Linked DNA regions of Sus scrofa. The protein of the gene in region 3 binds, or shares a complex with, the protein of the main gene of each other region. Links are inferred from orthologs where the notes say so. Each region holds a gene or a part of one and is shown on either strand. Other genes may lie near its edges.

The links.
Region 1: the proteins of STX17 (region 3) and VAMP8 are in contact, whole or in part, in a crystal structure (PDB 7BV6), measured with the Homo sapiens proteins. The link is inferred for Sus scrofa from reciprocal best matches to the Homo sapiens genes STX17 and VAMP8. Residues at the interface, in NP_060389.2 of Homo sapiens: Ser171, Trp172, Thr174, Leu175, Asp178, Leu179, Glu181, Leu182, Leu185, Val186, Phe189, Leu192, Val193, Gln196, Glu198, Lys199, Ile200, Ser202, Ile203, His206, Val207, Ser209, Ala210, Asn213, Val214, Glu216, Gly217, Thr218, Asn220, Leu221; in NP_003752.2 of Homo sapiens: Gly9, Val13, Leu16, Gln17, Val20, Glu21, Val23, Lys24, Met27, Thr28, Asn30, Val31, Ile34, Leu35, Arg37, Gly38, Leu41, Glu42, Leu44, Arg45, Thr48, Glu49, Leu51, Glu52, Ser55, Glu56, Phe58, Lys59, Ser62, Gln63.
Region 2: the proteins of STX17 (region 3) and GABARAP are in contact, whole or in part, in a crystal structure (PDB 7BV4), measured with the Homo sapiens proteins. The link is inferred for Sus scrofa from reciprocal best matches to the Homo sapiens genes STX17 and GABARAP. Residues at the interface, in NP_060389.2 of Homo sapiens: Ala169, Glu170, Ser171, Trp172, Glu173, Thr174, Leu175, Glu176, Asp178, Leu179, Glu181, Leu182; in NP_009209.1 of Homo sapiens: Tyr5, His9, Lys13, Glu17, Lys20, Ile21, Arg28, Pro30, Lys46, Lys47, Lys48, Tyr49, Leu50, Pro52, Leu55, Gln59, Phe60, Phe62, Leu63, Lys66, Arg67, Phe104.
Region 4: the proteins of STX17 (region 3) and SNAP29 are in contact, whole or in part, in a crystal structure (PDB 4WY4), measured with the Homo sapiens proteins. The link is inferred for Sus scrofa from reciprocal best matches to the Homo sapiens genes STX17 and SNAP29. Residues at the interface, in NP_060389.2 of Homo sapiens: Glu170, Trp172, Glu173, Leu175, Glu176, Leu179, Ile180, Ser183, Val186, Thr187, Phe189, Ser190, Val193, Asn194, Gln196, Gln197, Ile200, Ile203, Ala204, Val207, Asn208, Ala210, Ala211, Val214, Glu215, Thr218, Leu221, Gly222, Ala224, Ala225; in NP_004773.1 of Homo sapiens: Arg52, Thr56, Ser59, Thr60, Arg62, Ser63, Leu66, Glu69, Ser70, Val73, Gly74, Ser77, Glu80, Leu81, Gln84, Val87, Leu88, Thr91, Met94, Val95, Lys97, Met98, Asp101, Leu102, Ile104, Ser105, His108, Ile109, Ser111, Ile112.

The regions. Positions count from the first base shown.
Region 1 is NC_010445.4:59,189,945-59,195,249, reverse strand, and holds the start of VAMP8 (vesicle-associated membrane protein 8), read left to right. Parts: upstream 1-2,084; 5' UTR 2,085-2,498; coding exon 2,499-2,501; intron 2,502-4,444; coding exon 4,445-4,603; intron 4,604-5,305. UniProt on the Homo sapiens protein: SNAREs, soluble N-ethylmaleimide-sensitive factor-attachment protein receptors, are essential proteins for fusion of cellular membranes.
Region 2 is NC_010454.4:52,595,272-52,600,337, forward strand, and holds GABARAP (gamma-aminobutyric acid receptor-associated protein), read right to left. Parts: upstream 2,896-5,066; 5' UTR 2,790-2,895; coding exon 2,700-2,789; intron 2,158-2,699; coding exon 2,079-2,157; intron 1,940-2,078; coding exon 1,821-1,939; intron 1,354-1,820; coding exon 1,288-1,353; 3' UTR 859-1,287; downstream 1-858. UniProt on the Homo sapiens protein: Ubiquitin-like modifier that plays a role in intracellular transport of GABA(A) receptors and its interaction with the cytoskeleton.
Region 3 is NC_010443.5:241,655,775-241,661,005, reverse strand, and holds the start of STX17 (syntaxin-17), read right to left. Parts: upstream 3,470-5,231; 5' UTR 3,403-3,469; intron 1-3,402. UniProt on the Homo sapiens protein: SNAREs, soluble N-ethylmaleimide-sensitive factor-attachment protein receptors, are essential proteins for fusion of cellular membranes.
Region 4 is NC_010456.5:50,501,862-50,506,450, reverse strand, and holds part of SNAP29 (synaptosomal-associated protein 29), read right to left. Parts: intron 4,255-4,589; coding exon 4,169-4,254; intron 2,712-4,168; coding exon 2,613-2,711; intron 1-2,612. UniProt on the Homo sapiens protein: SNAREs, soluble N-ethylmaleimide-sensitive factor-attachment protein receptors, are essential proteins for fusion of cellular membranes.

The DNA.
Region 1 (5,305 bases), on a different chromosome or scaffold from region 3:
CATTTACTGAGGGTTTTTTAAGAGCCAAGCACAGACAGTGAGGTAACTGAGGTTACAGAAGACTGTCAGTGTCACATAAATGTTAAGGTATATAGATCAGCATCTAATAAAATATAATTAGAGCCACATTGGTAATTAAAATTTTTCTATTAAAAGAAAAGAAACAGGCGAAAATAACTTATTTATATCTATCTATTATCTATCTACCATCCATCTATCTATTTTGTTTTTTTGGCCTTACTGGCAGCATGCGGAAGTTCCCAGGCCAGGGGTCAAACCTGCACCACAGCAGTAACAATACCGAATCCTAAACAGTTTTATATATATATATATATTTTTTTTTTTTTTTTTTTTTTTTTTGCCTTTTGTTTTTCCTAGGGCCGCACTCGCAGCATATGGAGGTTCCCAGGTTAGGGGTCCAATCAGAGCTGTAGCCACCAGCCTACATCAGAACCACAGCAACGCAGGATCCGAGCCATGTCTGCGACCCACACCACAGCCCACGGCAACACCGGATCCTTGACCCACCGAGTGAGGCCAGGGATCGAACCTGCAACCTCATGGTTCCTAGCCAGATTCATTAACCACTGAGCCATGACGGGAACTCCCTTTAACAGTTATATATATTTTTAACTCAATATATCCAAAACATTGTTTCAACTTATCATTAACATATAAAATTACTGAGATTTACAGGTATTCTCTCATAATAAGTCTTTGAAATCTGTGGGGGTTTTTTGTTTGTTTTGTTTTTAGGGCCACATTCATGGCATATGGAGGTTCCCAGCCTAGGGGTCTAATTGGAATACAGCTGCCAGTCTGTGCCACGGACACAGCAATGCGGGATCCGAGCCGCATCTGCAACCTATACCACAGCTAACGGTAATGCCGGATCCTTAATCCACTGAGCAAGGCCAGGGATTGAACCCGCAACCTCATGGTTCCTAGTTGGATTTGTTTCCATTGCACCACAAAGGGAACACCTGAAATCCGTGTGTGTGTTTCATTTACTCTTAAATCTCATCAGAGTTCAGACTAGCCACATTTCAAATGTTGAACAGCCACTTGTGGTCCAAGGCTACTGTACTAGACAGCAGCAAGTACAGATCAAAGGTTCTGACCTCCCTCTTCTTGGCCACATTGTAGCCTTTCTAAGGATGCTGAGGAGTCCAGGAGCCACATTCTCTGAAAGCAGGCTGTTACTATGCACCAAATTTCAGAGCTGCAGAAGATAATAATCTTATCTAATTGGAAGAAGGTTTCATTATAAATTAAAATTAAGGGTCTCAAAATGCTCCAGAGGTCCAAAATGTATGAGACTCTTTAAAAAAGCATTTGTCAGAGAAACTAACATTTCCCTCTTGGAACTGTTACCTCTTCTGGGATGGGACAGGAATGTTTGTTCCCTTCTGCACGTCCCTGTTATTGTTCTTCTGTCTTGATAAACACCATCCAGGAAGAGTGGATTTTCTCTGGCCTGGAGCCAGGTTGGTGGAAAAATCCTTTGCCCTGGGCCCCTTTTCCTGCTCCATAGGGCAGTCGTCTGACTGTTTCTGACAGGGCTCACCAACCCACATGGTGGCTCCTGAAGAGACGTACATGCAGGACTGTTGAACTCTGGAAGGAAAGGGGGGTTGGTGAGCCATCATTTCCTGATTCCAGCAGTGGGCAGCCCTTGGTTCCAGACACTGTGCTAGGCACATGCTATGTTCTATCCTTTTATTCCTCACCACCACCCTCTGAGGTCAGCGTCAGCACCTGCAAAACCCAGACAGGCAGAGGTTCACTCAGGGTCTGCAGCCTTCTGACACCAGAGCCCAGAATCCCAGCATTCCAGACTCTGGGGGTTTTAGTGCTTTCTACACTAAAACAGACTTGGGAGCAAGGTCTGTCCAGAAAGTGTTCATCTCTGCATCCTGTTCCCATGCGAACAAGGTGCTGAAAGTTGAGTTCAATCTCCAAGAATTGAGGGTCAGATATTCAGGACTTTAGAAAAAGAAGCGGGACTTCCCGCTGTGGTGCAATAGGATTGGCAGCGTCTCTGCAGCTCCAGGACGCAGGTTTGATCCCCAGCTCAGCACAGTGGGTTAAGGATCCAGCGTTGCCGCAGGCTGCTTTGGTCGGCTGGGAATTCCATGTGCCGTGAGGCGGCCAAAAAAAGCGGGAGGGGGAGGAGATGGCTGCCCTTTCTACGTCAGTAAACCTAGGAGGGCTGCCTGATCTTTTTTTCCCTGGTTCCTGATACGTGAGAAGAATTGTGGTGCCAGGGAGCCCTGTGGCTTTAAGCCTAAGCCCTGGCAGGGGAGGAGACTGGGAGGGCTGTGGAGGGTGCCCGCCTACCTGGGGAACCTGCGCGAGGTGTGGCCGGAGCGGCTCGGGATGCGAGGTGGGCGGGGGCGGGCTGAAAGTTGGACAAGCAGGAAGTGAACCGACGGCCGCCCGGGAGGAAACCGATTTAGGCGAGTTCTGCTGCCGCCAGGCCCCAGCCGCTCGGAGACATGGTGAGAGAGCTGGAGACTAAGAAGGGGCTGATTTCAAGCCCAGCCAGAGGGTTCGAGGGGGAGGGCTGGGGATCAGCAAAGGAAAGTTAGTGGCAAAGTCCAGAGGGCCGAGCCAGCGCTGTGGCCTGTCTTCTTTGACAGTTCGTCTGCAAATAGTTCGGAGCTGCCTTGGGCGGGTGTTCCTGCTCCTTCTTCGCTCCCTCCCTCCCCTGACCCCGGAGCCGGCCGGGAGGGGGGCTCCGGTGGGGGTGGGGGAGTCCTAATTCTTCTCCTTCTCCAGCCGGCGGGCCCGCGGGTGTTGTGACATTCCTGGGCAGCGCCTCTGCTGTTCCCGTCGCAGGTTCCAGCCCAGCGGCGGAATCCCCCTTGCCTTTCTCTCTATTCTTGTACAGAAACGCAAAGAATGTGTCTCTCCCCTGAATCCAAGGAATCTAGCTCATCTCCATTAACGTGAGGAAGAGAGCTAAGGGTTTGAAAGTCAGAAGTGGGTTTTCTGTGAGTGTCTCGTTTGGACCCACACCAGAAGTCTAGTGGGTCAGGGAGGGAGTTTCTCCCTCCCTGTTCAAAAACCTTATCATAAAGCCTGGGGATGAGGCATCAGGCCAGGAAGAACTTGCCCTCCATTTCCCCCAACGCCCAGGCTGCTGTTTTTATTTTATACTTGCTTAAGCAGGCAGTGGCGTGGTGCCGGCTCATGACGCTAAATGGTGGGGAAAGCAGAAGTTTGTGGCCCAACGGCTCTCTGGTGGGGCCTTGTGAGGGACTTGTAGCCTGGTGGCTGTTGTTCTGGGTCACAGCCATCAGGCTGCCCAGGAGGTCCGGAGAGAGAGGGAGAGTTGAGCTGGGTGAGGGTGGTCTGCGGGCTGGCACAGGCATTTTTACTGAGGACCCTATGGGATTTGAGAGTTGGTGAGGAGCAGTGGGGCTGTGCACTGTGAAATGCCAGCTCAGCTGTCTCCTGGAACCCTCTTTGAGGAAAAGAAGCAGTGGAGAGGGGTTTGGTAGTGGTATTTGTCATGCACCCTGAGAACCCACAAAGAGGTTTGATTCAATGTCTCCTAGCATGGCTCTTTACCATCTGGGGCTTAAACATGTAGGTTTTTTTCACTGTGCCCTATGGCATGTGGAAGTTCCCAGGCCAAGGATCAAACCCAAGCCTCAGCTGTAACCAGAGCCACAGCAGTGGTAACACCAGATCCTTAACTTCCTGAGCCACTGGGGAACTCCAGATGCTTTATTTTATTTTATTTTTTTGTCTTTTTGCCTGTTCTAGGGCCACTCCCGCGGCATATGGAGGTTCCCAGGCTAGGGGTCTCGTTGGAGCCGTAGCCGCCGTCCTACACCACAGCCACAGCAATGCAGGATCTGAGCCATGTCTGCAACCTACACCACAGCTCACAGCAACGCCAGATCCTTAACCCACTGAGCAAGGCCAGGGACTGAACCTGCAACCCCATGGCTCCTAGTTGGATTCGTTAACCACCGTGCCACAACGGGAACTCCAAAATCCTGTTTTTTTTTAAATCTTTTTATTTTAGGGCTGCACCCTTGGCATATGGAAGTTTGCAGGCTAGGGGTCATATCAGACCTATAGCCGCTGGCCTACACCACAGCCACAGCAACAGCAACGTGGGATCCAAGCCAAGTCTGTGACCTACACCACCACAGCAATGCTGGATCCTTAACCCACTGAGCAAGGCCAGGGATCGAACCTGCCACCTCATGGATGCTAGTCAGATTTGTTTCTGCTGAGCCACAATGACGGGAACTCCTGCATTTGTTTTTTTATTACATGCATACTTAGCAGAAAACCTTCTCTTTGTAAATAGTTCAAGCATTACAAAAGCTTAAGTCCATCTTAGGCCTCCCCCTCCTCTGGCCTCTGAGGCTGAGTCTCAGTCCCTCCACCACTTGGCTTAATTAACCGTTTTGTTGCTGCCCAGGAGGAGGCCAGTGGCGGTGGAGGGGATGACCGCGTGCGGAACCTGCGGAGTGAAGTGGAGGGAGTCAAGAATATTATGACCCAGAATGTGGAGCGGATCCTGGCCCGGGGAGAAAACTTGGACCATCTCCGCAACAAGACAGAGGATCTGGAAGCCACAGTGAGACAATGGGGAGCCTACTGGGGGCCAGAGGAAGAGGGGGAAGGAAGATTCTTGGGGGTTTGGGGATTGGCTGTCTTGGTGGCAGATGTTCAGGAGGGCAGTCTGCCTTTTCACCTGCATTGGGAATTGATGGGAGCAGATTCCCCACTTCTGATTCTGCTCTACTCCACTGATTGGTGCTGGGGTCCAGGGAATGGGTTCAAGGACTGGGGCTGGGGTGCATGGAGAGGGTGGAGGTGGGTGCGGACCCATGGAGGCATTTCCTGAGACAAATGGATGGCTCAGTCAGCCTGTGTCTTCTGAGGCTTCTCTCCTAGGAGACTTTCCCTTTGAAGGCTGCCCTTGACAATCATTTGGATCTGGCCTTCCCCAGGGCAAAAATATTGGCTCCAGAAAATCCTCTTAGGGCTCTAGGCCTTCCCCAGGAGTTGTTAGGCAGGTGGTGGAAAACTGTTAAGAATCTTGCTGAGCCAGCTTTAAAAAGAAGGTGGGAAAAGCAGTAAAAGTCTTTGATCCAGGGTTCTCTGCTAGCTAAAGGCTAGAATAATATCTCCCACATCTTTTTTTTTTTTTTTTTTTTAGGCCATCTGGTACCTGTAGCATATGGAAGTTCCCAGGCTAGGGGTCCAATCAGAGCTGTTGCCTCTGGCCACAGCCACAGCCACAGCAGCTTGGGATCCAGGCTGGATCTGTAACCTA
Region 2 (5,066 bases), on a different chromosome or scaffold from region 3:
CCTCCTCCTCCTCTCCTCCCTCCTCCTCCCTCCCTCCTCCCTTCGCGGGCGCCGACGCGCAGTGCATCAAGGGGATTGTGGTCCGTCTGGGGAAGACGGAAAGGGGACTTCATACGCCTCCGGAACTTCAGTTCCCAGCAAACCATGGGTTGGCGCAGGCGTACTAAACCGCTCTCCTCCCCCGGGGAGTGGCGGGGAGATTGGGAGCAGAGGGGAAAGCGGAAGAGTGCGCGTAGACTTCTGGGAAATGTAGGCGGGGCGGGGCTAAGAAAGAAGGGGAAGAAGGGATTAGATCTCTCGGCCACCATACTGCCTCATTCTGCGGCTTCTTTTTCCACCCGGGGACCGCCCCACTTCCGGCTACACGGAGACTTGGCTGCTGGGAGATGAAGTTCTCGTGGTAATAATGGCTCCCTCCTCCCAGTCTTCTCCCTAACTTGTATTCCACTCTACTGGAACCCGCACGCCGGCACAGAGTCTGGCTAAGGGACATATACCTGAGGACAGAGTTCTTTTACCAGCTCCACACTTGGAAAAAACCCTTCCTTGATTCAAAAGGTTATGACAAACTTGGATGGGATATCCAAAGCAGGTACTTTCAAACTTTCTCCACTGGAACCCACAGTAGAAAACCAACTTTTTTTAACCTCAAGCCCCTATCTATACACGGGTACATAACACAACTTTCATGAAATGATACTCAGAGTATTCCATCCATCACAACAAAAGCACACTTTCTCTGCACAAGGAAAAGCCCAACATAAGGAGAAGAAATAAAAATACATTACTATCCCTCCAACCTCCCTTTCCCCCATTGAGTAGAGAACAAAAGGCAGAGGGCAGCAACACAAAGCAAAATCCAGTTCAGCTTGGTGGTTTCCTCTTTATTGATGTGTATCCTACCTTCCCCGCCACAATTCAGTCCCTTCCATCTACCCCCCAAAAAGAAGGTAGTGAAAATAAGGGATTGTTGGGATCCTGAGCCCCCTGGGCAGTTAGAAAGGAAACAGAAACCAAAACGACCACTGGATGTGACAGAGATGGACAATCAAGAAGTCTAAAGCTGAGTGGGAAGGTGGTAGAGAAAGGGAAGGAAAGGAGTACTGGAGGCCATCTCCCCCATTAACCCTTGTTTTAAGAAGGGCTGGAGGAGAGTCTCAAACATTAGGAAGTGTAGGTCCTGAAGAAAGGAGGTGGTGTTTGAGCCTCAAGGAAGGACAGGTCGAGGAAGGTGGGCCACCTCTCTCTGTCTGAAGAATGGGACCCCCGACCTTAAGGGCAGCAGCTTCACAGACCATAGACACTTTCATCACTGTAGGCAATGTACAGAAAGAAGTCTTCTTCATGGTGTTCCTGGGGTGAAAGCAGAAAATGACAGTGCTCAGGCACCTGGGCTTTAATTACTTGAACCAACCACCACCCAGGCACATTCTTCCAAAAACATTCTTTTTGAAGACCCCCAAAACCAGTGCTTTGACTCTCCCTCTCACTTGCTCCAGACCCTAGCGGCTGAGCAGTATTATCCTAGCAGCAGTCCTAGGCATAAAAATCACACATTGTTCTCTGCTGCCTCGAAATGGGGAGGGGCCTGGGGAAAGTCCAGATCACAACAGTTGCTCCAACTCACTGTTCTCTTTTCTCTCTACTCCCACTGCCCTGTCTAAATCCCCAACCCAGAACTATAAGGAGATTTTAAAGCCAAATTTAAAACTGAGAGCTAAGTAAGCCAACTAGTCCAAGACCTGCTGACTTAAAACTTCCTGCCTCTCAAGTGCTTCCAACTCCTCTCCAAAGCCTCCACTACTTCCCAGACACTATACCTGGTACAGCTGACCCATCGTGGCACTGGTGGGTGGAATGACATTGTTGACAAAGAAAAACAAGGCATCCTCAGCTCGGAGATGAATTCGCTTCCGGATCAAGAAGTAGAACTGACCAACTGCCAAAGAAACAAGGTCTGAGAAAGTCTGAGGTCACAAACGCCTTCAAAAGAACAGCTGCTATGTGGAGCCTCCTCCAGCAGAGACCACATTCCCACCCCCCAGGAAGCAAACCTGGCTACTGGGTCAGGTTCTCACCTGTGAGATCAGAAGGCACCAGGTATTTCTTTTTATCTAGGTCTCCTATCCGAGCTTTGGGAGCCTTTTCTACTATCACCTGATAAAGAGACGAAAATTAGGAGACATTAGGTATACAGGCCCACAGCTCCACCTGTCAAGAACTCAACATTCCTAGCATCCCTACCTACCCCAGACTCATTTCTCTTTGTCTCTGAACACGCGGCGCAGTCCTGAGCAGGGATTCTGATCCCACTGACTCAAACTCACCTAAACCTCCAGAATCCCTGAATAGGACGTCATAACAAACAATGATTTTAATCAAACAGGCATGTCTTGTCTGGGCCGACTAGAGCTTCAATCTCAAGCACCCCCTGTGAAGCTCGGAATGTCAAACGCCCTACACGAATCCAAGGTCTAGCTCTCGCGCCTACATCCCCTTAAGCCTACATCCCCTAGCCCCCCAGTTCTAATGCTACCCCACTCCTTTCACCTCCAGTCCCACAGACAGCAGTTTCGGGCTCATTCCCAACCCTGCCACAGCTGGCAGCCTGATGCCCGCGCTGCGGGTCTCGGACTCAAGCCCAGGCTGTGGCGTCAGCGCCAGCGCCCCGCGCCCTCGGCCCTGGCTACTGTCCTCACCGGCACCCGGTCCGGGTATTTCTTTCGGATCTTCTCGCCCTCAGAGCGACGCTTCTCGAACGGATGCTCTTCTTTATACACGAACTTCATCCTCCCGGGAACCGGGTTGGACCGGGCTGGGCTGAGGGAACCCGGGGGGGCCGGGATGGGGGGCGGCGGCGACGGCGGCGACGCGCGGGCGGATTCAGCGGAGCGATCCCGGACCTTGCGCCACTTCCCTATTCACCAACCCCGCCCCCGGCCGTCAGAGGCCGCCCCACTCGCTATGTTACGCTCCTAGCTCAGTGGCCCCAACGCCACTAGCGTAGCGCCACCTACTGACCTCCCCCCTCACGCAATCAGCGTAATCGCTTTGGAATCAATTTACGGGCTACGCAGGCGACGTAGGAAAGGTGGCTGGCTTTTTGCTATCATAGAAAATAACTGAAAACCCATTTCCTGACTTTTTCCACAGGATGAAAAGGGCTTGGAGATGGTAATCATAATTTGAGACTTGGTTCTCCGAAAGTGCTTTTCAGAAGTAACAGAGGTAAAAAAGCAGATAATTACAAGGACAGCTATTCAGGAAAGGTGCTGGTACGCTGAAGGCGGCGGTTGACACCAAAACAAAGTAGTACCCCAATGGAGCAAGCGGTCTTTGGAAACAGAGGAGGGCAGAAACGAGACCTATGTTTGGAAAGACGCTTATGTTTCCAGAATGCTTAGGTTCCAGGAATGAGTGGACGAATAGGGACTGGAGAGGTCTGAAAGGTAGGGACTACGTCAGCGCGGAGGAACACAGTCTTCGCGGCTCACGGAGAGATCATGTGATCGCAGAGAAGGGCGGGGCGTCACGTGGCGAGTGCGAGGAAGTAGAGCCGGCTGCGGCTGGGGGAGCAGGGCCAAGGGGAGGGAGGTGGGGCGCCAGGGGCCTGGGACACCCCCCCCTCCGCCCCCGGGGGGCTGCGCCCGCTCAGCTAGTCTAAGTCAGGCCCGCAGACGAAGCCAGGCCTCTCCCAGCGTCCAGTTCTCTTTTCCTTTCAAACTTTTCTGTGTTACTGTTCGGAAGCTCACATTCCCTCTGGACACAGGGCTGTTCTTTCGCTCCCGGCCAGGGTATCATCCTGCCACTAAGACCCTCCCCGCCAGGGTGGCCAACACCCTCCCCTCAGGTCAACAGCTTGCTCCTTACCCTCTGCCCAGAGCCAGGGTGGGTGTGAACAAAGCCCCTTCATTTCCCCCAAACCCAGAGAAGGACCTAGGGCAGCTTTGGTTTCAAAGTTATAATGCATGGTTTAAGTAGACGAAAGAAAAAAAGAGAAAGCTCGTTACAGGTCTGAGGGACTCTAGGAAGAAGGGAAGATGGAAAAGGAAGGGAAGGGACAAGTTTGGGGAAAATCCAGTGGCCCAAAATCCCAGTTTCCCACCCACAGCCCAGCCCTTGGAGTGAAGAATTAGATCAGTTTTGTACAAGAGTTTTTAAAAAATCAAATCACAACAAAGCTGGCTTGGCTTCTCTTTGAGCCTCCCGGATTACCGAGTGTCTTTCGCTCACTCTGGCCAGTCCTGTCTCCACCAGACAATGTTTCAGCTCTCCCAGGCCTCCGCTTTATGTCCCAGTCTGGGGTTTCCGGGGAGTGCGAACACGAAGTTAGAGTGAGGCTGCTTCAGAATCTGGCCCATGTGTCCATCCAGACTCCATACGGAGTGCAGGGCTCCCAGGGCAGAGAGGGGTGGGAGGGGCAGACTCTGCCCAGGCAGTCCTCACCGTTGGCCAGGGCACCAGACGGCATCCCGAGGGCTCACCCTCCCTTCCCCCCCACCCCAACTCAGGTGGAGGGGGAGCAGCTGTCACCAGAGCCTATGTTGGTGAAGGTTTCGACTCAGCACAGAACGAACATCCGCGGTGAACCTGGGACGACAATTAACTTGCATTGGTAGAGCCCTTACGCTGACCTCCTCACCTTAGCGTGAGGCAGCCTCGCTGAAGCCGGGCGGTGGAGACTGAGCTGCAGTTTGCCCAACACCCACTGGCTAAAAGTGACGAGTTTTTGTAAGAAGACCTGGCTTCAAATGCTAAGTTCTTAAGGGAAAAGAGATAAGTGAGTAAAACAGGACACATTTTTATTCTCTCTTGGGCTCCCCCGCCTCCTTGGTGTCTCTCTCGCTTCCTTACCTGAGGGCATCCAGCATAGGAAGCAGGTTGAGGAGGGCGGTATCGCTGGGGTCACTGAACCAGGATTTGATGGGGATGGCATTGTCTGGGGAGGGTGAAAAGGCACGTGAGAAGAAGCAAAAGATTCAAGACAGGCTGCTCTTCCTTTTATTTGGGGCTGGGGATCATTACTTTAAAATACATATGCCCCCCCCCCAACTCAATGACCTGAC
Region 3 (5,231 bases):
TTCTCATAGGACTATGGGTTAGAAATCCTGAAATTTATTAATGTATATACTGGGATTGAATAAATAAAGGAATATTTTGTAAAATATAAAAGCCAGATTTCTCACTATTGGAGAAAGAAGTTACAAATAAGGGGCAAGACTAGAAAGAACCCTGTGGTATTAAATTAGAAATGGAAGTATCAAAAAAACTTTAAATATATATATATATACACACACACACATATATATAATGTGTATGTATATATACACAAATAAAAAAAGTCAACATATGAAAGAATAAATAATGTATGCCTGTGTGTATCTATATGAACGATATGCACATTCAGTTGACCCTTGAAAATATGGATTTGAACTGTGAGGGTCCACTTACACATGGATATTTTCCAGTAAGTACTACACTACAGGAGTCACAGTTGAGTCTGCAGATATGGAACCTCAGATACAAAGGGACAAATCATGGGATCTGAGTATCCGTGGATTTGCACGGCTTTGGATTTTAGTCTGTGACGGGTCCTGGAACCAGTTCCCTACAGATACCAAGGGATGATGGTATGTACAAATAGCTAGAAATATATATATATATAATACACACTCACACACACTTCCTAGATGTCTTCTGCCGGGCACTAGAAGCAGTGATACCCCAGTAGCAATGAACACACCTAGCACCTAAATCGTTGATGGTTAAAAAAATACCACTCTCCAAACCAACCAGGGGGTCCTTGGAGAAGTGGTGGATTCAAGGGCTGTGTCAAGGAAAACACAAGAGAGCCTGGAGCATCCTCTGGTGTCAAAAAGAAAAGAAGTTCTCAAAAAATAACGAGGACCTATGAAGAGGGCACAAGAAGCACCCTGAAAAAACTTCCAATGGCCAAAGCTGGAACAATTTAAGACATAAAATAAATAACCACAGTGTAGGATAATAACCAACAGAAAGATAAATGAATCTATACTGATACAAAAAATTAACAATAAATAAATGAGAAGAAGGGGCAGCTCTTCTTTACAGAAAAACTCCAGGAGTTCCCACTGTGGCGCAGTGGTTAACAAATCTGACTAGGAACCATGAGGTTGCACGTTCGATCCCTGGCCTTGCTCAGTGGGTTAAAGATTCGGCATTGCCATGAGCTGTGGTGTAGGTTGCAGACGAGGCTCAGATCCTGCGTTGCTATGGCTCTGGCATAGGCTGGTGGCTACAGCTCCGACTGGACCCCTAGCCTGGGAACCTCCATATGCCATGGGAGTGGCCTAGAAAAGGCAAAAAGACAAAAAAAAACAAAAACAAACCAAAAAAAACTCCAATTAATAAGTGAAGAAGGAATGAGAGAAACAGAAAACCACCATCGAGATTATCACAGTAACAATTACTGAAAGCAAGAAAAAGTAATGGATGCTCAAATCAGCTAATTAAAGTTTGAAAAGAAACTGAGTATTTGTCTTGTTTAAAAGTTCCCCAGGGGGAGTTCCCGTTGTGACTCAGCAGGTTAAAAACCTGACATAGTGTCCTCGAGGACTCAGGTTCAATCCCTGGTCTCACTCAGTGGGTTAAGGATCCAGCATTGCCACAAGCTGCAGTGTAGGTTGCAGATGCAGCTCAAAACCAGTGTTGCCCTGGTTGTGGCATAGACCTGCAGCAGGCTCTGACTCAACCCCTAGCCCAGGAACTTCCATATGCCACAGGTACATTCATAAAAAGGAAAAAAAAAAAAAAAGTTGTCAGAGTTCCCGCAGTGGTGCAGTGTGGGTCACTACGGAGGTGATCCCCAGTCTGGCAAAGGTGACTAAAGAATATGGTATTGCCACAGCTGCAGAGTAGGTCACAGCTTGGCTCAGATTCAATCCCTGGTCCAGGAACTTCCATATGCTGTGAGTGCAGCCAGAAAACAAAACAAAACAAAAATTAAACAAAGTTCTCCCCCAACATACTGATTAGTTACAAAGGGAAAAGTAGTAACTTTAGAGAATCCCAACAGATACCACCTTAACCAGTGATCAAGAGTAATTTCAAAAGCAGTGTCATATCACACACCTCCTTACATGATGGACTACTGAGAAGGGCATACACTTCTGTGACATCAACAAAAACGCATAACCCTAATCTCACCGGGAGAAAAAACATCAGACAAAACTCAACTGAGGGACTCTCTACAAAACAAATAACCAGGACTCTTCAAAAGTGTAAAGGACCTAAAAGACAAGAAAAGACTTAGAAGCTGTCGCAGACTGGAGGAGACTCAGGAGCCATGTTAACTAAATGCAATGTGGGGTCTTAGATTGGATCCTAGAACAGAAAAAGGACATTAGTATAAAAAAAAAAGATGAAATCTTAAGAAAGCTGATAGTTTAGTTAACGGTGTTGTACCTAAGTTGATTTCCTACTTTTGATATTTGTATTACGATTATATGAGATGCTAACATTAAAGGAAACTAGAAAACTCTCTATTACTTTTCTAACTCCTCCGTTATTGTAAAATTATTTCAAAATAAAGTCTTTTTTAAAAACGTGTTGAGCTGTTTCATGTAAGACAGGCCAAACATTTCTACATCAAATAACTGCAACCATATTCACTGCACAGACACTTGGCTCGGGGGCTGGGGATGGGGGAATGGCAGGTGCTTACAACTATTACCAGCTGAATACCATACCATTAGTTTCCAGTAAGGAAAAAGTACTGGGAGGTTAACCAAATTACTTCGGATTATTTATAAAGGAAAAGCCCTATTTCTCAGAAAAAGTCCAAAATTGCTGGCAACAAAAAAAAGTGATGAACATCTTCCAACATTTCCCCACACCAGTGGCACCGAATGTCTTCAGCCACGTCGCCCTGATTTGTTTCGGACAAGATTCTGACTTGGGGACGCGTTCCTAAATTTGGAAAGAAAAGTCAAGGCCCCTGGTCCTACCCTATAGTCCGCTCTCTGAGCCTCTGATTCCGAATTTTAAAAAAGGGGGAGTTAAACATGGGACCTTCTAAGAGCCACCTCCCGGTCTGGCTGACAGGACACTCCACCCTCTCGCTTCGGGTCCTCCCCTCACTACCTCGGAGCAGAGTAACCCACAGCGCACCCGGGCCACAGAAACCAAACGCCCCTCCCCCCACCCTCGCCGAGAACGGGTACGCGGACCAGTCTCAGGACGTAGACGCCCACGACGCTGACGACCTATGGCCCACAGTGCGTCACGGCAGGGCAGACGATAGAAACTTTTCCACCCTGAGACCCCAGGAGGCCGACCAGCTCCTCCGGTCGGCCGCCCTCTATACCCGCTTCGAATAGCGCCTCCAAAACCGAAACCATCACTTCTTGGAGCTGAGAGAAGCCCCACAGAGCTCGCACTTCCGAACTGATACCCTGCTTCCCGCCGGGCGCCCCTCCCGCGCGCGAGGTTGGCACCCGGCCTACCATGCCACACAGGGCCTGACACCCATGAGGCGGCCTGTCGCGAGCCCCTTACCTCCCGCCGGGGCGCTTGAGACCAGTAAGCGCGCACAGCGCAGGCGCGGGCGCGACGGGGCGGGGCACCACGATAGGCCTGCCGGGCTGCGCCACGCCCCCTCCCGCCCCGCTCCAGCCTCGAGGGGTGTGGCCGGCTGTCCCGTGAGTACAAGCGATGTTGCCACTCTGGGCTGAGCTTTAAGAGGTTGTCTTGAGTTATGGTCTGGGTTTGTAAGTCTGTTGCATTTTAGGTGTGAGACGATTCACATACGTATGGGCCTCTACATTTTGCAGGGTTTTTTTCTATCCATTTTCCTGTGTTCTAGGAATTTTATTAGTTGGCCAGGTGTTCTTACCTCTTTACACATTGAAACTAAAGCTCAGAAAGGTTGTGCCTTCTCCTTCTCGTCCTCCAAAACCCTCTTAGGTGTTCAGGGCAAAAGTCTTGACTGTTACAGGTGCAGAAATTGAAGCTTGGTCCAATGCTTCCCTCCCCTCCCTGACCTGCTCCTGCCTCCCACCAAACAGGTGGAGCCCTTAATGCCACTGTCTTATCCTAACTTTATAGATAATGACACTGAGGCTCCAAGAGTTTCTGCTGACTCACTCCAGTTCAGCCAGTTAGTGACAGAGTTGGAACTCCGAATGGGTTTTTTAATTTCCTTCCCAAGTTTTTCCAGTTACACCAGCTGCTACCAATGAACAAGCAGATGGTTGGCTTTGAAGCCCTGTTCTAGATCACAGGTCTCCTCGCTGGTTAGACTGACTTACAGATCCAGCCTTTTTAATATGTGTTTGAATATTCAGATGACTTGCTCAGAATGTATCCACTGAATGATACTGTCCTCAGAAGTCATAAGGATGTTCAAGCCATAGCTAAGTAAACTCAGCTCTTGGGGTCTTGCAGTGGAGTGAAAGTAGAAGTTGTGGATCAATAAATATTAGAGGTCTATAAGAATTCCCTTGAAAGCAATTTCTAAAGTAAAGCATAAAATCTGCTAAGCATTTTGGATTTTCTTTGTGAGTATAGTGAACACTGGTGTTTTTTTACTCTAGGAATGAGGTGGTGGTAAAATTTTAATTCTAAGGAGAAAAATTAAAGTATTATATAATACCATGGGAAAAATTTTTTATGCAAGGGTCAGTTAAACAGATCTTTTGAAGTAGAAGTGTTGGGTTTTTTTAAGGGCCGCTCCCGCTGCATATGGAGGTTCCCAGGCTAGGGTCAAACTGGAGCTGTAACTGCTGCCACAGCTCATGACTATAACTAGGCCACAGCCATAGCAATGCTGGATTCAAGCCACATCTGTGGCCTACAACACAGCTCCAGATCCTCAATCCACTGAGCAAGGACAGGGATTGAACCCACATCCTCATGAATACTAGTCAGGTTCGTTAACCACTGAGCCACTATAGGAACTCCTGAAGTAAAGGTCTTTTGAGTTAAGTTCTGAAAAAACTACCTCAAGTACACTAGGGAGGTGCAACACTCAAAGATTCTAAACCTGAAGCTAGGCTTCTAGATTATATGTATGTTTGCTATAAGTTAGGTCTATCAGGGAGGCTGATACACATATTTAATACACATAATTTGCTAAGAACAATGAACAAGCAGATAGTTGGCTTTGAAGCCCTGTCTAGATCACAGGTCTCCTCGCTGGTTAGACTGACTTATAGATCCAGCCTTTTTAATATGTGTTTGAATATTCAGATGACTTGCTCAGAATGTATGTAGAACTTTTTAATCTAACAATTCGTTAGCTTGATTTATAAATGTTACATATTTAGAAATATGG
Region 4 (4,589 bases), on a different chromosome or scaffold from region 3:
AAACCTGCTCTGGCCCCAGGTTCCCCAGTCTATTCTGCAAGTGGCAGGAGAAATGGGGGCTCTGACCCTGTCCTGCACTGGGGTGCTTTACCAGAAGACTCATGAATGACAGATGTTCCCACTGGACCCAGGTTCTGTGAGGTCCCTTTATCTATGTTATGAAAACTCATGCTTTCCCACATTCACACGTGCATTGCTGCCACTCCCAGATCCGTGAACAGATGTTCCCGGGTACGACAGCTAGCTTGCATTTCCAAGGGCTGGGCTGGACCACTTCCTTTGTCTACTTGGTAGTTGGGGAGGCAGTGGCCTCTGCATAACCTGGGTGCATAGGCCCTGCAGCCGAGGGTCCCTAGGCAAGAGGCATTAAGTACAAAAGGTGCTCTGATATCTGGGCCAAGCCCCAGGTAACTGGAGTGCAATTTTTTTTTTTTTTTTTGGTCTTTTTGCCTTTTCTGGGGCCGCTCCCGAGGCATATGGAGGTTTCCAGGCTAGGGGTCTAATTGGAGCTGTAGCTGCTGGCTTACGCCACAGCCACAGCAACTCGGGATCCGAACTGCATCTGTGACCTACACCACAGCTCACAGCAATACTGGATCCTTAACCCACTGAGTGAGGCCAGGGATTGAACCTACAACCTCATGGTTCCTAGTAATTCGTTAACTACTGAGCCACAACAGGAACTCCTGGAGTGCACTACTTTTGGCAAAGGTTCTTTTTTTTTTTTTTTCTTGGTCTTTTTGTCTTTTTAGGGCTGCATCCATGGCATTATAGAGGTTCCCCAGCCAGGGGTCCAATTGGAGCTGTAGCCGCCAGCCACAGTCACAGCCATAGCAACTCGGGATCTGAGCCGCATCTGCAACCTACACCACAGCTCACGACAACCCCAGATCATTAACCCACTGAGTGAGGCCAGGGATCGAACCCAAGTCCTTATGGATGCTAATTGGGTTCATTAACTGCTGAGCCACGATAGGAACTCCCAAAGGTTCTTCTGACAACTGCTTAAGTTCAACTGCTTAAGTTCAACAGTCAGGTGACAACTGCTTAAGTTCAAGTTCAACAAAATGTCCATAAGGAACAATGCCTATAAGGACGTGGTCAGCCTCAGGAGTATTTGAAGGGCTTCCACAGCACAGTAACATAAAGACAGCTAAGCATGGGGTTCCCTGGTGGCTCAGTGGGTTAAGGATCTGGTATTGTCACTGCTGTGGTTTGGGTTCAATCCCTGGCCAGGAATTTATGCACATTGTGTGTGTGTGTGTTTTTTTTTTTTTTTTAAAGGGTCAAAATATATGAATCCCTAGCAGTGGCTTTACGAATCTAAGCAGAATCAGGTTTTTAAATTAATTAAAAAAAATTTTTAGGCGTTCCCATTGTGGCTCAGCAGCTAACAAACCCAACTAGTATCCATGAGGATGGCGGTTTGATCCCTGGCCTTGCTCAGTGGGTTAAGGATCCGGCATTGCCCTGAGCTGTGGTGTAGGCTGGAAGCTGTACCTCCGATTGGACCCCTAGCTTGGGGACTGCCATATGTGTGGCCCTAAAAGGACAAAAAAAATTTTTTTTAGGGCCACAACTGTGATACATGGAGGTTCCCAGGCTAGGGGCTGAATTGGAGCTACAGCTGTTGGCCTATGCCACAGTCACAGCAATGCTGGATCCAAGCAGAATCTGCAGACTACACAGCAGCTCACGGCAACACCGGATCCTTAACCCATTAAGTGAGGCCAAGGATCGAACCGCCATCCTCATGGATACTAGCTGGGTTTGTTACCACTGAGCCACAACAGAAACTCTAGAATCAGGTTTTTTTCAAAAAAGGTAGTCTTCAGTTCTATGCTTCCTAAAGCCTCTGCCTTTAGTTCTATGCTTGACTGAAGCCTGTGCCTTGAGCTCCATGGGTTACCCCAGGATCCAGCAGCTGGGACAGGCAAGAGGCTGTGCCGGGGTGAAAAGCCTGACAAGCAGGGCCATGTGGCAAGGGTCCCTGACAAAGATGGGTGTGCCAGGAGGGAGAGGAATTGTGCCCAGGGTAGTGGTATGGCCTCGCTAGCAGAGACTGTGGACAGCTGTCCCGGGGTCCCTGAGGTCCACACAGCCCTCCTTTGGGCCACTGTGTGCTGGCCAGTGCTGCAGGTTTGAGGACTCCCTGCACACCCCCAGTGGGCTCTACTTAGCCTTCTTCCTGCCTCCCTCCCCCAATTCCTGAATTCCACTCCCTGATATTTCCCCATCAGGCATCAATGACACCCTTTCCTGGTGGGGAAATTTTGTTTAGGGGTTGGTGGACTCGCTAGCGTCCCATGTTGGAGTGGCCAGATCCGCAGACATCCCTTCCACCTGGGCTCTAGGGCAGAGTCCAGGGAACTGAAGCAAGCAGGCAGATGAGAGGTGGGGATGGAAACAAGTGGACAGAAGAGAGGTAGAGACGGAGACAAGCAGACAGAGGAGAGGTGGAGACAAAGACAAGTGGACAGGCTCCAGAGATCAGGGGGGAGTGGTCATGACTCTTGGATTTGCTGAGAGGGGAGACAGAGGCAGACGCCAGTGGGCTGGGCACACGCTGCCCCGGGCAGGTGAACCTTGAACGTGGTGGTGCCCCGTCTTACCCAGATTGCTGTCGATTTTCTGATGATAGGCTTGGAGGTGAGGGTTCTTTGGATACGCCTCAGAGCTCACAGCAGATCCAGCCCCTCCAGGGATGCAGTCTGGATTCACAAGAAGACACCAGGAGATGGGTTAACTGACATCCCTTGAAATGCTGCTTTACAAAATCTTAGTCTGGGAAACAGGTGGAAGGACTATAATGGTCAGTTCTAAGGCCAGAGCGATGGCTGTGGGAGTGGGTTGGGGGAGGGGAAGGAGCCCTGGCAGGCTTGTGGGGAAGGGAGAGATGCTTCCTGGGGGCCTACCCTTCGGAGATCAAAGACCTCCAACCTCTGGAGGGCCTGGTCAGCCCCTGGTGCACAGGAAAAGAGACAGATTGACACATGTAATGACATAGCAGTGGTGTTGCATCAGGCAAAACCTCACGGCTCAGGAAAGAGGAATGTCAGATGATGCACATTTGCCCCAAGAATCCTCCTGACCTTCAGCTCCTGAGTTCACACAAGAAAGCCCTGTCAGGCCAGTTCACATCTTCTGGGGAATATCTCTTTCTAGATTTGCTGTATTTCCCCCCCAGCACGATTTACACAAGCCTGTTTTTTTTGTTTTGTTTTGTTTTGTTTTGTTTTTTTGCTTCACCAATTCTCTTAAGCTAATACACACCCTACAAATGAAACTCCTTTTAGTTCCTTAAAATTGTCTTTCGGTGCAGGGCTCTACTCCACTCCCTTGGGCACAACGAGCTGGCTGTGTTATGCACTTTAGTTCTCTCACTTCCTCTGTGGCTTTGGCCTTTCCAGATAGCTCTGTCTCTCTCCAATGCCTCCTCCACCAGGCCTCCCCTCGGCTGTGTCAATCACATGGCAGGGGGCACCTGGCTATTTGTGATGGGCCTGGCTCTCTAGGGGTCCAAAGAAGCCCCCAGGATGCCTCCACTCCTTTCCAGATAATGGCTGGTTCTGGGCTTGTCATTTGATACTGACAGGATGACCTGACACAAAACAGATTCTACCCTGCACTCCCATCTGCCCGGGCTTGAGGGCCACCACAGCAAACCCCCATAGACCACCTTCAGTTCTGGAGGCCAGAGCTGCAACCTGGGGCTCACTGGGCTGGCCTCTGGCTAGAGATTCTCAGGGAGAATCTGCCCCCACCTCCTATGGCTCCTGGAGGCCACGCCTCAGCCAGGGGCCCTGCCTTCACCTTCCAATCTCCCTCTTTACTGCCTCCTTCGCACGTGCAGGGCAGCCTTGCGGTTTTACTGGGTCCACCTGGAAAACCCAGGATCATCTTTTCACCTCAAGTTGGGCAACTGTGCTCCCTTTGTACCCACAACCCCCTTTGCTACATGACCTGATGTTCCCAGGGCCTGGGGCTGGGGTATGGATGTTTTAGGGGCTATGACTCCACTTACCACAGGGGTTTCCCTGCAAGCAGCCTTTCACACTCAGCTCAGAGCTGCAGTGCAGGCTCCCACTTCCTCCTCTCCGCCTCCCTCACCCAGCAGGTGCTCCCTCCACCCAACCCAAGTGTTAGGTAGGAAAGCAAGCCCACTGACCTGAGTCATTCAGCCTCCTGAGGTTTGGGTGGCTGGCCTGGAACCGTGCCTCCTGGTCTTTGCTTATACTTATGGCTTCTTTCAATCTTTGGATAAGAGTCAAGAAAAGAAAGAAATCTTTTAGAAGGGAACACCACCTCTGCCAGCATAGTCTTTTCCTGGGGTGCCTGTGTGAGAAAATCAAATGCCTCCTCCAGAAAAAAAAAAAAAAAAAAGGAGTTCCTTTCATGGCTCAGCAGAAACGAATCTGACTAGTATCCATGAGGATGCAAATTTGATCCCTGGCCTCGCTCAGTAGGTTAAGGATCCAGCGTTGCCGTGAGCTGTGGTGTAAGTCGAAAGCATGGATTGGATCCCATGTTGCTGTGGCTGTGATACAGGCCAGCAGCTACAGCTCTGATTCAACCCCTAGTCTGGGAAC